Linked DNA regions of Oryzias latipes. The protein of the gene in region 1 purifies or fractionates together with the protein of each later gene. This does not show direct contact. Links are inferred from orthologs where the notes say so. Each region holds a gene or a part of one and is shown on either strand. Other genes may lie near its edges.

Evidence for each region.
Region 2: the proteins of stk38 (region 1) and mob2 purify together in Homo sapiens (affinity purification with mass spectrometry; 7 studies listed by BioGRID and IntAct, with this or other methods). This does not show direct contact. The link is inferred for Oryzias latipes from reciprocal best matches to the Homo sapiens genes STK38 and MOB2.

The regions. Positions count from the first base shown.
Region 1 is NC_019865.2:33,690,346-33,696,806, forward strand, and holds part of stk38 (serine/threonine-protein kinase 38), read left to right. Parts: intron 1-733; 5' UTR 734-740; coding exon 741-871; intron 872-2,472; coding exon 2,473-2,524; intron 2,525-2,619; coding exon 2,620-2,742; intron 2,743-2,981; coding exon 2,982-3,065; intron 3,066-3,206; coding exon 3,207-3,330; intron 3,331-3,422; coding exon 3,423-3,577; intron 3,578-4,098; coding exon 4,099-4,210; intron 4,211-5,768; coding exon 5,769-5,830; intron 5,831-6,354; coding exon 6,355-6,461. UniProt on the Homo sapiens protein: Serine/threonine-protein kinase that acts as a negative regulator of MAP3K1/2 signaling. Converts MAP3K2 from its phosphorylated form to its non-phosphorylated form and inhibits autophosphorylation of MAP3K2.
Region 2 is NC_019864.2:31,187,155-31,193,615, reverse strand, and holds part of mob2 (MOB kinase activator 2), read left to right. Parts: intron 1-378; exon of another isoform or gene 379-482; coding exon of another isoform or gene 483-550; intron 551-2,286; coding exon 2,287-2,447; intron 2,448-3,309; coding exon 3,310-3,406; intron 3,407-4,568; coding exon 4,569-4,693; intron 4,694-5,742; coding exon 5,743-6,041; 3' UTR 6,042-6,461. UniProt on the Homo sapiens protein: Stimulates the autophosphorylation and kinase activity of STK38 and STK38L.

The DNA.
Region 1 (6,461 bases):
AAACCAAAGAGTTGAAGGGATGTTATGTTTCTCCATGCACACCGGCCCTCTGAGGTATTTATGCAAATCTGAAGGTTGAAAACATCTGGAATGGGGGCTTCCAGCAGCTGTTCATCAGCTTGGACACTTCAGACATGGTTTCCTTCTCACTGAAGTTTTATTTTTGACACAATGAACCTAGAATGTATGTCTGACATGTGGTCATCGTGCTGGTTCTGGTCTTGGTTTCAAAGGGATCCAGAGCCCTGCAGTCACTGACACAGGCCTCCAGCAGCTAAATCTGCTCTCGACATGTCTGCTGGTGCCATGTGGTCAAAGTGAAGCTGCCCCCTTAGTCCCATGAAGGGATGTTCATGAGCTGTGAAACTCTGACATCCCATCCAAATAGTTTGGCGTCTTACAGCTCAGAGGGCCGGAGACGGAAACGGAGCGTTAACTGTGACCGCCATCGTAACCTTACAAAGGCCTCAGTCTGGGTGGAGATGAAAATGCAAACCACAGACGAGAGCCGCAGCTTTGGACTTTGCTTCCATGAAGACGGTTTAAATCAATATCAAAATAAAAAAGGGCAACAGTATATAAAGCTGTGCAAGTGGACAGATGACAGAAATGTAGTGAGGGTGTCATGGCGGGTCTGAGTCGCTCTCTGAACTCGGTGTCCGACTCCCAAACTGATTCATAATCAGAGAGAAATGACAAATGAATGAGTCTAATTAAAGTTATGGTTTTGCAGATAAAGCATGGCAATGACCGGACAGAGCTCGTTTTCCTCCATGAGCAACCACACCAAGGAGCGGGTCACCATGGCCAAGGTGACCCTGGAGAACTTCTACAGTAACCTCATCGCTCAGCACGAGGAGAGGGAGATGAGGTGAGCTCCTTCCACCAGTCATTCCCAGCATTCTCTGCGTCTGTCAGCTGGAATGCTGGCTGTCTTTTTGAGGGGACGGCTGCAGACGTTCTCGCCTCATAAGATGAAGAAATGCTACTTCCTGTTAGGAAACGTTGTCATTCCTCCTCTGGTTCCAGTACAGAGAATGTTTGATGTCACTATATAGTTTTTCATATCAGGTAATAGTGATGTATATCACAATATAAACCTATATTTGTCTAATGTGATGTGCTCATAATAGAAATGTGTGATCATCAGCAGGTTGTTCAGGTCTAAACCTTTATTTCCATCATCCTTTAAACATAACAGATGAAGGACCGCGATTAAAGCAAAAGCTTTCCAAGAGAACATCAGGAAAACAGAATGTTAAACTGTTTGAGCTGTTCCATTTAAAAACAAAACATTTACTCTACAAATAATTTAATTTTTTTTTTAGTTTTACAGAACAAACATTTTTGTCAACATCCTGTGAATAATGTAGGAACTAAAAGCAAAGTCTCAGAGTTTGTCCTGGTAGTCAGACTGTTGCTGCTGTTCAGGTCTGATCGTTGTTGTTTTTGCTGGAGAATCCTGGTTTCCTTCAGTGACATTGAACATGATTGGTGGATCTGCTTCAGCTGATAAAACAGGTTAATGCTGTTTCCAGTTTTAGAAGGAAGATGACTTCTGCACCATTTGCTGTAAGTTACTCTGTTTTATGTCAGATTTTAAATAACTGTAATAACTCCACACAGAGGCTGAAATAAAAGTTTTGAGTCACCGACCATGTTGGCCGTCTGATTGGATAACATCTACCAGCTAAACATATTTTTTTACTGGTCAAATGATAACATTATTCACACAGAAATACCTTCAGAATTTTCTTTAGGAAAAAATGTAATTGCATAAAAATAATTTATAACTGGTTTGAACACGTCTCTAACGACTTGACTTTGAAAATGAGGCCTAAAAAAGCATTTTAAAAAGTCTTAAATTTTGATATGTTGCTCTTAACAATAGTGCAGATCAAATCTTTTATGATGTTTCTGGTCTAAAGTTTTTTTTTTTCAACCATGATTTTGTAAGTAAAGTGCGTAATGCAGCATCATGCTGGATGCCTACCGCTGATTTAAAAAAAGAGAAGAAGACAAAGCTGTGAGGCTGGGAACTGGAGTCAAGCACACATGACTCCTTCACTGTCCTCTCTACAATGGCTCCCAGGCCACTTTAGAGTTGATTTAGACTTTTTACTTCCCTTTTTTTAAAGTCTTGCATTGACAAACTCCTGCAAACATTTTTGGCCTTTTCACCCCCTGAGGTCCATCAACCAAAAAGCTTTACAAATCCCAAAAGGTTGCACTAAAACCGGAGAAGACCTCACCTTTCAAGCTGTGGCTGCTCGCTCTGGAACGACCTCCCGCTGGCATTTAGACACATCGATGTCTTTGTAGTAATTATAAGGAACTAAGCAACCTCTGGCTGTGTTCAGCATCTGTAAACCGTGTGACTCATGCCAGACAAGTGTGATGAAGGTATTAAGAGGGAAGATCAGGTCTGTAGACAAAACGGGGCAGCAGACCTGATGATCCGTGTGTTTGTAGGCAGCAGAAGCTGGAGAAGGTGATGGACCAGGAGGGCCTGGCTGACGAGGAGGTGAGGCGCTGCAGCATCTGCCAATGAGCAGAAGGATCGACCTGTTCGGTGACGCTTCTTCTTTTCAAATGAAAATCTTCTGCTTCTGTGTGCAGAAACGTATCCGTCGCTCCGAACATGCCAGGAAAGAGACCGACTTTCTGCGTCTGAAGCGAACTCGACTGGGTCTGGAAGACTTTGAGTCCCTGAAGGTGATTGGCCGAGGAGCATTTGGAGAGGTAAGGGGGGGTCGTTCTCTATTTTTCCATCAGGGCCACAAAGAGGCAAACATGGTAACACAGAGTCCCAGTGTGACCTTTACAGTCCTGGAGTTAGTTGATCTTTTTAAACTCAGTAACTCGGATCAAACCGTTTGAAGTTTTGATTCTTTTGTTTGGCCCTTCTGTTTCTGTGTTTTCCTGTGTTTCCTCTGGCCTGGCCTGGCCTGGGATGTTCATACTGACTGCTGTCCTTCCAGGTCCGCCTGGTACAGAAGAAAGACACGGGCCATGTCTACGCCATGAAAATCCTTCGCAAAGCTGACATGCTGGAGAAGGAGCAGGTGAGACCTCAGTGTTCCTGCTGTGGAAAGCTGCTCCTCATCTGCTGAAAGTGGTTCATCCGTTTGTCCATCGTTATCCCGCTTTATGCTAGTTTGTCTCACGTTTATTCCTCCTTGAACTTGGTTCGTCTGTGTCTGTAGGTCGGTCACATTCGTGCTGAGAGGGACATCTTGGTGGAGGCAGACAGCCTGTGGGTGGTCAAGATGTTCTACAGCTTCCAGGACAAGATGAACCTGTACCTCATCATGGAGTTTCTTCCTGGAGGTGAGTCCAGGAGTTTGTCTGCAGCTGTTTTTCATCAGACCTGGACTGTGGTGGAAAAGCTGTCAGGGTGTTGATTGTCATGTTCTCTGAAGGGGACATGATGACCCTGCTGATGAAGAAGGACACTCTAACAGAAGAGGCCACTCAGTTCTACATTGCAGAGACGGTGCTGGCCATCGACTCTATTCATACGCTGGGCTTCATCCACAGAGACATCAAACCAGACAACCTGCTGCTGGATGCCAGGGTGAGTGTCCTCTTCCTCATCCTCCTCCTCCTCCTGCAGGGTCAAAGAGTGGAAGTTTCAGGAGACGTGGACAAATGCACGATGCGACTTTTTGCCAATGTTCAAACCCTTGTTTGAATGTGTCCCTAAACCTAATGAGACGAAGGAAAGGTCACTGCAGTTCAGCTCAGGTAACCAGTGAAAAGGCTTTGTTTGTACCTCAGCCGTTTCCTGTCCTACACTCCAGTCCTTCAAATGGCTGGAACCCAGCCCTGGTTCTGGTTCTTGGAATAGTGAAAGGCTGATGTATAACAGGAGCTGAAGAGAACAGAGGAGGAGAGTTTTGTTTTACACAGTGAGAGATGAATGAATTTACCAGGTTTAGAGTTTGAAGTCTGCTTCAGGTGCTCTGTGTTCATCCTGGTCTTACAGACAAAGCAGATTTCCCTCCAGGACCTGCAGCTGCCCAGTTCTTTGTGTTCACACTCGGGCCAATCCAAGCTACTGAACTCATGCAGTATCTGTTTGCTTGGTGTCTCCAGGGTCACGTGAAGCTGTCAGACTTCGGTCTGTGCACGGGATTGAAGAAGGCTCACTGCACGGACTTCTACAAGAACCTGAACCACAGCCTGCCCAGCGACTTCAGCAAGCAGAGTCAGCAAACACCTTTCTCTATAACGTCTGTGGGGGTTTCTGCTCTGAGAACAGTCTCAGGCTGGTTCAAGCTCCAGGAGCTGCAGACCTCGTGTTGTCTGGCTGTCGACAGCTCCTCCCATACGTTTTTGATTTGGCGTCTTGGTGAAGAGGCGGAGCTGCACCTGTGAGAACCAGGTGCTGATCAACCCAAATCTGGGACGAGCTGTTGTCTGGCAGCCATGAAGTCTGCTTCTCAAAGAGGATGAAGCAGCCTTCCTTCACCCCTCTCCCTCACTGTCTGTCCGAGCTTATGCAGGAACGCGTGGGGGTCAAAGTTACACAATGAAAGAAACGACACGAGAAAAGCTGTGGCGAGTTATCGGCTGAAGTTTCGGCTTCATGACAGGCGTCAGCAGTGAGGACATGAACAGTGACTGTGTGCAGTCTTATGGCTTTTTTTCCTGTCACTTTCACTCCTGACCCCCCCACCCCGGCTGCTGGGGATGCGCTGACGTCTGCTTCAGGTAGAGCTAAGGGGACCTGCCTTGTTAAAGCAGGTTATCAAGTGTCATGGAAAATCCTGCTTCTGTAGGCCGGTGGGGTCAGTTTGTAGGCTAACAGAGGAAGTGTCTGTCTGGATGGAAACATTTATGGTTTTCCTGAAAGCCACGCATAACCAACTATTAAAAGCCCTTTCTGGGATCATTACTTTCTGTCAACAAGTCAGAATAAATAATATTCCTTTGAATGAAATAAAAAATACCCCTGCCCAGGATAAGTGAGGGTCCCAGAATAGCGTTGTAAATATGGCCACCGGAGAAATCCAGAGGAGTAAAACTTGGTTTCATTCATCAATAAAACAGTCACAAAGGTAGCCTCTCTGGGGGCTGCAGCTCCTTTCTGGGGGCTGCAGCTCCTCTCTGGGGGCTGCAGCTCTTCTGGGGGCTGCAGCTCCTCTCTGGGGGCTGCAGCTCCTCTCTGGGGGCTGCAGCTCCTTTCTGGGGGCTGCAGCTCCTTTCTGGGGGCTGCAGCTCCTTTCTGGGGGCTGCAGCTCCTCTCTGGGGGCTGCAGCTCTTCTGGGGGCTGCAGCTCCTCTCTGGGCTGCACTGTGAGCTGCACGTCTGTTTCTTTGCCAGTGCTAATGGAAAAAGGTCATTCTCTTGTCTTCTGCTGCAGCTTGGCATTTCTATGCTTTACATTTTAAAAGTAACTCTCATGGTGAAATCCACAAAGTAGGATTAAAGATGTTGAAGGCATTTTCTGGTCTTTTCTGAGACAGACATGAACATTCTCAAAATGTTCTCTCGTTTACACTCTCAAAGTTTAAACCTTCAGAGAAAAATAGGTCCAGTAAAAGATCTGATCGTGATTTAGGATGACAGACCACAGCAGAGATTGATTGACAGCCAAACAGAAGACAGAACAGGGTGTTGTTCAGGGGCCAGGCTAAATGTGGAGGTGGTCTGAATCTGGCCTGCGGGCCACAGTTTGGGGGCCAGTGCTTTAGAGCAGAGGTGGGGTATTCTGTGGCCTTCCAGCAGGGGGCAGTAGTCTCTAACCTGCCTTCTTTTCACAGCCTTTCAGAACATGAACTCCAAGAGGAAGGCAGAGACGTGGAAGAGGAACAGGAGGCAGCTGGTAGGTGTGGATGCATGCAGCATCAGTGAAGATTATGTTGACATTCAGGCCTGAATGTCCCTCAAATGCAGCATCACCACCAAAGTGTCCAGAAAAATCCATTCAGATGGAGGCTGATAATTCCTGCTGATGTGGTGACCCCTGAAGGGAGCAGCTGACGGGCAGAGAGTTTTCATGTCTGACCTGATTTCCCACATTGTGTTAGGAGCATCTGCTGTTTAACTGCTTTCCTCTAAAGCTTGTTAATGCTCCCGTTTCAGTTGCCATTTGGGTTCCTCGTGCCCACCGCTCTGATTGGACAAAGTGGGAGGGCTCCCTCTGTTTTAACTCTATGCTCTGAGCCTGAACCCTGTAGACCTGAAGGGAGCATTGCCCATTTTAGACAATCCAATGATGTAGTTTACGGATCTTGATCCATTGTTTTACTGAGACTACATCAGTGTGGGAACACTAGAGCTGTCGGTGGTTTGATGCTCTGCAGCTTCAGCAGAAACATCCTACAGCTTCTCTCTGCTCCTCTTCAGGCTTTCTCCACAGTGGGAACTCCAGACTACATCGCTCCAGAGGTCTTCATGCAGACCGGCTACAACAAGCTGTGTGACTGGTGGAGTCTGGGTGTCATCATGTACGA
Region 2 (6,461 bases), on another chromosome or scaffold:
AAGCCAGGAGGATATCAGCACATCTTCTCTTGATCTCTGCCAGACTTGGGTTCTGGTTCTGGTTCAGGCATCAGAAAGTATCTTGCTGCTGATGTCAAGTTCTGCTGAATGGAGCATCTTGTCTCTTTTTCTTCCACCTCTGTCTCTGTGGATGAGCAGAACCCAGACAGAACCTGTCCCGGTTCTGAGGAACCAACTTTAGAAATGAGTGGACATAATCTGTCTGGAGAAGGACAGAAAAAGCTGATCCCTGACGGTGTAATTACACACAGAGGACAAACCACGGCCACATGGGCGGATGTTTGACGTCACCTCTGCCCGCCCCCCGCGCGCTCTGATTGGCTGAGAGCGGCGGAGGGAGCAGAGTCTTCCGCGCAGCTCCCGAGTCTGTGAGGAGTCCAGACGGGCGCGTCGGAGCGGAGCCGCGTTTCTCCGTGTTGTGAGCGGAGATTTCCGGCTCCTGTCCCGGAGACCAGGCGGTCATGCACCCGCAGAAGAACTCTAAGAACGGGATTAAAATGGTTCTGCAGGCGGTCGGGAAAGTCCTCAGGTACTCGCCTTTGATCTTCCGACACTTTGCTTTCAACCGGGCCGTCAGGAGGCGCGCGCGGGTGGCTCGGACGCCGCTCTCGGTCTGTGCTGCGAGGGCGGGGGGAGGGCGCCCCCACGTGCCGTTTCTGTCCCGCGGGTCCAGGTGACTGTGGGAGATGTGAAGCTGAACATTTCCTGATCAGTGCAGACAGAAATCTCCACCTTTATGTCATGTTTCTGATCTGATTAGAATTCACACTTCAGCCCTGAAAGTTATTTTTTTAATCTTCTCTGATCTAAAACTATAGTCGTCAGATCTTCTTCAGATCTTCTTTAGATCCTCTTTAGATCCTCTTTAGATCTTCTTTAGATCCTCTTTAGATCTTCTTTCGTGGGTTCTTCCTCACACTTGGAATTTCTCAGTGGAATTTGACAGTGATCATATGACTAAACAGGTGGGCGTGTCCTTAAATATGGGCGTGGCGAGCCGGGCTTCACCTGTTTCCAGACAGAAACTGCTGTGGAGACTAACGAGCGGCTGAGCGCTGCCCCCTCTCCTGGAACACCTGGAACAGGTAGAGACGGTCACGCTGCACCTCCTCCTCTGAGGACCGCAGGAGCAAACAAGGAGCTTCAGCAGATGTTTGAGAACCTCCTCCTTCTCCAGACAGAACCCTGAGGTTCTCCTGCTTCTGGAGAAGCTTCTCCTGAGGTGTCAGAACTCTTGACGGCGGGCTGCTAGCTCCGCCCCTAACTGAGCTGCATGTCTGCTGCGTCTTTGTGGACGTCCCGTTGTCGTAGAGCGTCAGGTAGATGTTCTAATGCAGCCTAACCTGGCAGCGGCAGGTTCTTGGGATGAACCCCTAACCTGGGGGAGGGGGTCCCGCAAGAACTTCTGTAAAAGGACTTCATTTGAGGTGGTGGGGGGCTTTGGACAAACGTCCAGACATCTAACTCTGACCTGATGAGCCTGAAGGAGGAAGATGACGATGAGGAGCAGCTGGAGATCTGATCAGAGAACAGTCCTGACATTCATCATGAAGTGGTTCTGACCCGGTTTAATGACTTGGGAAGTTCAAACGCTGATGGAGATCTCTGTATGTTTACTGACCCCCCACCCCACCCCCGTGTGGACATGCCTGCTTGTTTGCAGAGGCTAAAAGCTCTTCCTGCAGAAATACATCGGGGGGGTCAGGGCAGGGAGTCTCTGCCTGGAGCGGGTCGCTGATCTTCGTCTTTCTTCTCCATTTGTGATACAAGCTGCTCAGGGACTAAAAACAGTTTTGTAGAAATCGAACCCGCGAGTTGAAGGTGGGACAGTGTTCTGGCCCCTCTTCTGTTCCTCAGAATCAGCGCCTGGGTCAGTGGGGGAAGGAGGAGGGGGAGCTCTGGACGTGAAGGCGGGGTGTGATGTGGCGTCCAGGTGTCAAAGGCGTCCGTGGACGGCCGAGCGTCTGCTAGAAGTTGGAAAGCTGGCGTGATGCCCCCCCCCCACCCCGTGCTGTTTTCTGTTGGGGGTGGGGTCCTGTGAAAGTTTCTGTTTTCCCAGAAACATTATTGGGGTCATCAGACTGACAGGTGACTTCCTGTTGGCGCTTCTTGAAAATCCGGTTGGTTTTGTTTCACAGCCGCATGACGTGGAGCTGCGAGGGAGATTCCTCCCCCCTCCTTTCACGCCGTCCTCCCCCGACATACTACAGCTTCTGTTTCCTCTTCTCCACTTTAACCCCCCTCCTCCTCCTCTCTGTGTCGCAGGAAGTCCAAGCCGAAGCCCAACGGAAAGAAGGCGCCGGTGGAGGAGAAGAAGCAGTACCTGGAGCCGGAGTTCACCAAAACCCGGGTGGTGGACTTTGACCTGAAGGAGCTGGTGGTGCTGCCCCGGGAGATAGACCTGAACGAATGGCTGGCCAGCAACAGTGAGTGACAAGCGTCTGAACAAGATTGTCCCGCCCAGATCCGGCTCTCTCAGGTGGGCCGGTTCTGGGCGGGAAAAGTTATAAAGCACCTTTCACGTGCATTCAACCATAAAATCCCTTTGAGGCGCTATCCAACATGGCAGAAGCTTTGAGAACAGCAACTTCCTGGTTCTTCTGGTTGGTTCATTAAGGAAAAAGGTTTTCAGCACCGTTTGGTTTCCACGACAACAGAACTTTCAGTATGAAGAACCGAAGCTCAGACGAGCTTTAACCAATAAGGTTCTATAAGAAAAGGAAGTTCTGTTTATTTATGAGTTTAGCATTAAACCACCAAAGACACCAACCAGGATGGGTAGTTTGGATTCTTACCGGTTCTGAAACGGTTCTAACGGAGCTCAAACCGGAGCTTTAAAACAAACTAAACTAAAAACACAGCAATTGAGTCAGCTCTGCCACGAGGCGGTTCAGGCGGTGATGTTTTGGCGCCGAGCGGCTGAAACAGGAAGGCGTTCTGCGCTGCCCACTAGTGGTCGGAGGTTGAACTACACGTCTGCTTCTAAATTCACTCAGGGTTGTTTGGGCTTTCTAGTGTTGACAAATAAAATAGTCCGATACACCCCCCCCCCCCCCCCACCCCGACTCACATGCCTCCTCTGAGCCCCTCTGGGTTCAGCTCCTCTCTTCTGTCATGTGTTTGGGGGCTGATGTGTCACAAACGTTCTGGACGTGTCTGAAGTCAGGTTCCGCAATAACAAATTCCAGCAAGGTTCTGGAAGGTGGGAACCCTTCCAGATTCGGTCTGTAGACCAGAATGTTCGGTTCTGATCCGATTCCTCCTAACGTGCTGCCCTCTCCTCCACAGCGACCACCTTCTTCAACCTCATCAACCTGCAGTACAGCACCATATCCGAGTTCTGCACCGGGGACACCTGCCAGGCCATGAGCGCCGCCTGCAGCACGTAAGCCCCCCTTCCTGTCCTTTAACCCCCGGATCCTCCCGAAGGGTCACGTGAGGTCGGCTAGTTCTGGTCCGTCTGGGAACGGGCCGAAGGGTTAGACCCACTGCTGCTAAATGAAAACAGCAGCTATGCTGTGGCTGTGGTGCAGCGTCCCAGACTGTGTGTGATTCCTGCTGTGCTTTGATCGTTTTCATCAATCAAACCTTGCACTATTGCTGCTGTTTGAAGCCCCGCCCCTTTGCAGTTTTCCCAGGGAGGCGGTTGATCTACCTGCTGTTGTGTGGGGGGGTGTGGTTCCGCCTGTGTTGTTTTTTGGCGGGATGCCTTTCATCCTTCCCGCTGGGGAAGCCGGTTCCACTGGAAGAGCCGCTCTGACCCAGCCGGCCAGGAGGTCGGCCCGGGGGGGGTTTCCACTCCACCCAGAAGCAGGCTTGGCGCCGGCGGGAGGGGCAGCAGCCGGTTCGGTCGTAGGCGGAGCCAGAGATTGGATCCAGAGGAGAAACGGTTCCTCCTCTCTGGACTTCAGTGTCTGTAATTCTGACTGTTGGGCTCCAGTCCCCCCCCCCCCTTTCCTGTGGGTCCCCCACCCTTCCCTGTGGGTGCCCCCCCCTCTGTGGTGAACTCTGGCAGAGCCACGGTTGCAGCAGCGTCATTCTGGGCCTGCAGGCGCCGCCAGCTTCTAAAAATAGAGCAAATGTTTCCATGAGCTCCGGGGGGGGGGGGGGGGCTCTTAACCCGCACTTAAAGCGGTCTATGGTTGGGGGGGGGGCTGGATCCATCCCGGCTTATCCCCCCCTTTGTGGCGTTCACAGCCAAAACCGAACGGCTCTTTCATGAGGAGCTCAGAACTTCTGGAAGGTTCTGGTTTTAAACCCACAGTGCAGCAGGTTTCTGGATTGGGGGGGGGGGGGGGGGGGGGGGGGGGGTATCTCATGATCTCTGAACCAGGAAGGTTCTGGTTCTGATGTCGCCTCTGAAGCAGCAGGTGACGTTTGACAGAGAGGAGGTCATGTGACCTGCTCATCTGACGCACGCTCCAGGAAACGTGGCCCCCACAGCCGATCCTCCATTCCAGACTGTACCCTGGAGTAGCCCCGCCCCCTTTCCCCATGCTGTTGTGAAACGCTGCGGCGGCGGCATTGACGCCATCTTTCTCTTCCAGAACCTACTACTGGTATGACGAGAAGGGGAGGAAGACGAAGTGCACGGCGCCGCAGTACGTCGACTTCGTCATGAGTCTCTGTCAGAAGCTGGTGACGGACGAGGAGATCTTCCCCACTAAATACGGTGAGATCAGCGCCCCCTGCTGGTGCAGAGGCGGAGCTTCAGTGATGCTGCAGAGTCCGACAGGAAGAGTAAACGTAGAGCTGTCATGCCAGATTTACAATCTAACCTAAGAATTTCTGCCAAAAGCCTCATTTTGAGGGTTTTTTAATCTGAATTCATGACATCAAAATATAACTTATGAAGTTTTCCTAAAACAACCTTTACTTTGTCACCAACAAGGGAATTTTTTTAATCTCCAACAAAAATGAGAACCAATCATCCAGTCCAGAGTCTCTGACTTAACGCATAAAACATATTCTCCACAGAGAAACACAGTTTACCGTCCTCCACGTCTGCTTTATCGATGCTAACGAACGCCTGGTCATCACGATGGATCAAAGCTGTGGCTGGTTTTTGGTGGCACATTGATGGAGTTCATGGACTGGTGGGGGGTCCGAACCCCCGCCCTAACTACTAAAACAGTCTATAGTGGGACCATGCAGTGCCCTGGATTATAGAAGCCATTCTGATGCATTTCAGAGTGAAAATCTAATGAACTTGAGCGTTTTGAGATGATTATTTATGAGTCCAGTGTCTTCTGAAGATTACAACGTTTATTAAAAAAAAACATTTAAACGACGCAATGCATTGTGGTCCATACACGCCGATCTAGTGAGCATAGGTTCAGACTGGTTTTTCAGAGAATTCTGGGAAATTTCCTGGGCGCTGCGTTCTGGAGTTGTAGATTCTGACAGCACTACGGAAGGGCGAACGCCAGAGAGCGAGTAAGGCGGGAATTCGGACACAACCAAAGACGGGCGCCGACAGTGACGTCAGACGTGATTGTTTTTGCCATAAGTGTTAATCTGTCTGTAAATATCTGTGATGATGCGATGAAGTCACGCCCCCAATGAAGACACCGTTACACAAATGCGTTTTTTTCCCGTCAAATCCAAAAGATTTCCCCGTTTTTCTGAAACGGCGACGTTTCCGCTTCCCTTTGATCTTCGGAGCGCCGTCCCGGTTGCTCCTCCCGCCCTCAAACCGGTTTCTCCTCTTCCTCCTTCCAGGGAAAGAGTTCCCCAACTCGTTTGAGTCGCTGGTGAAGAAGATCTGCCGGTACCTGTTCCACGTGCTGGCGCACCTGTACTGGGCGCACTTTAAGGAGACGGTGGCGCTGGACCTGCAGGGCCACCTGAACACTCTGTTTGCACATTTCGTGGTTTTCGTGCGGGAGTTCAACCTGGTGGACCCCAAGGAGACCTGCATCATGGACGACCTGTCCGAAGTACTCTGCAACCCCGCCCCCCTCCCCGCCCCCAGCTCCGCCCCCTCTCCTTCCTCACAAAACCATGTCACGGAGAGATGAGCGGGGGCGCCGCGGAGGCCTCTGGGGCGACGGACGACGCCATAGGAGGAGAGCAGCCTGCCCCCCTCCCTCCCTAAAGCAGGGACCCCCCCAACCAACCAGCCGGAAGCAGAGGGGGGGAGGGTTTTTGGGGGGGTGGGGTAGCAGGGAGGGGGTTTGCCCCGCCAGCAGGAATTGGCGTGAGTGTCCCTTTTAGAGACAGCCCCCCCCCCCATCATCAGTCTAAAGTAGGAAAATGTTTCGCCTCTATATTTTTATTTTCATACTTTATTTTTTTTAGGGTGGGGGGCAGCATGTCTGTCCGCCCCTCCCCCATCCTCTGTGTTTCATCCAGCAATGGGGGGGGCTCAGCTTTGCTTCGACTTGCTAATGTATAGAGGAGGCTCCCTGAGGGAGGGGGGCACACCAGCCAATCACTGT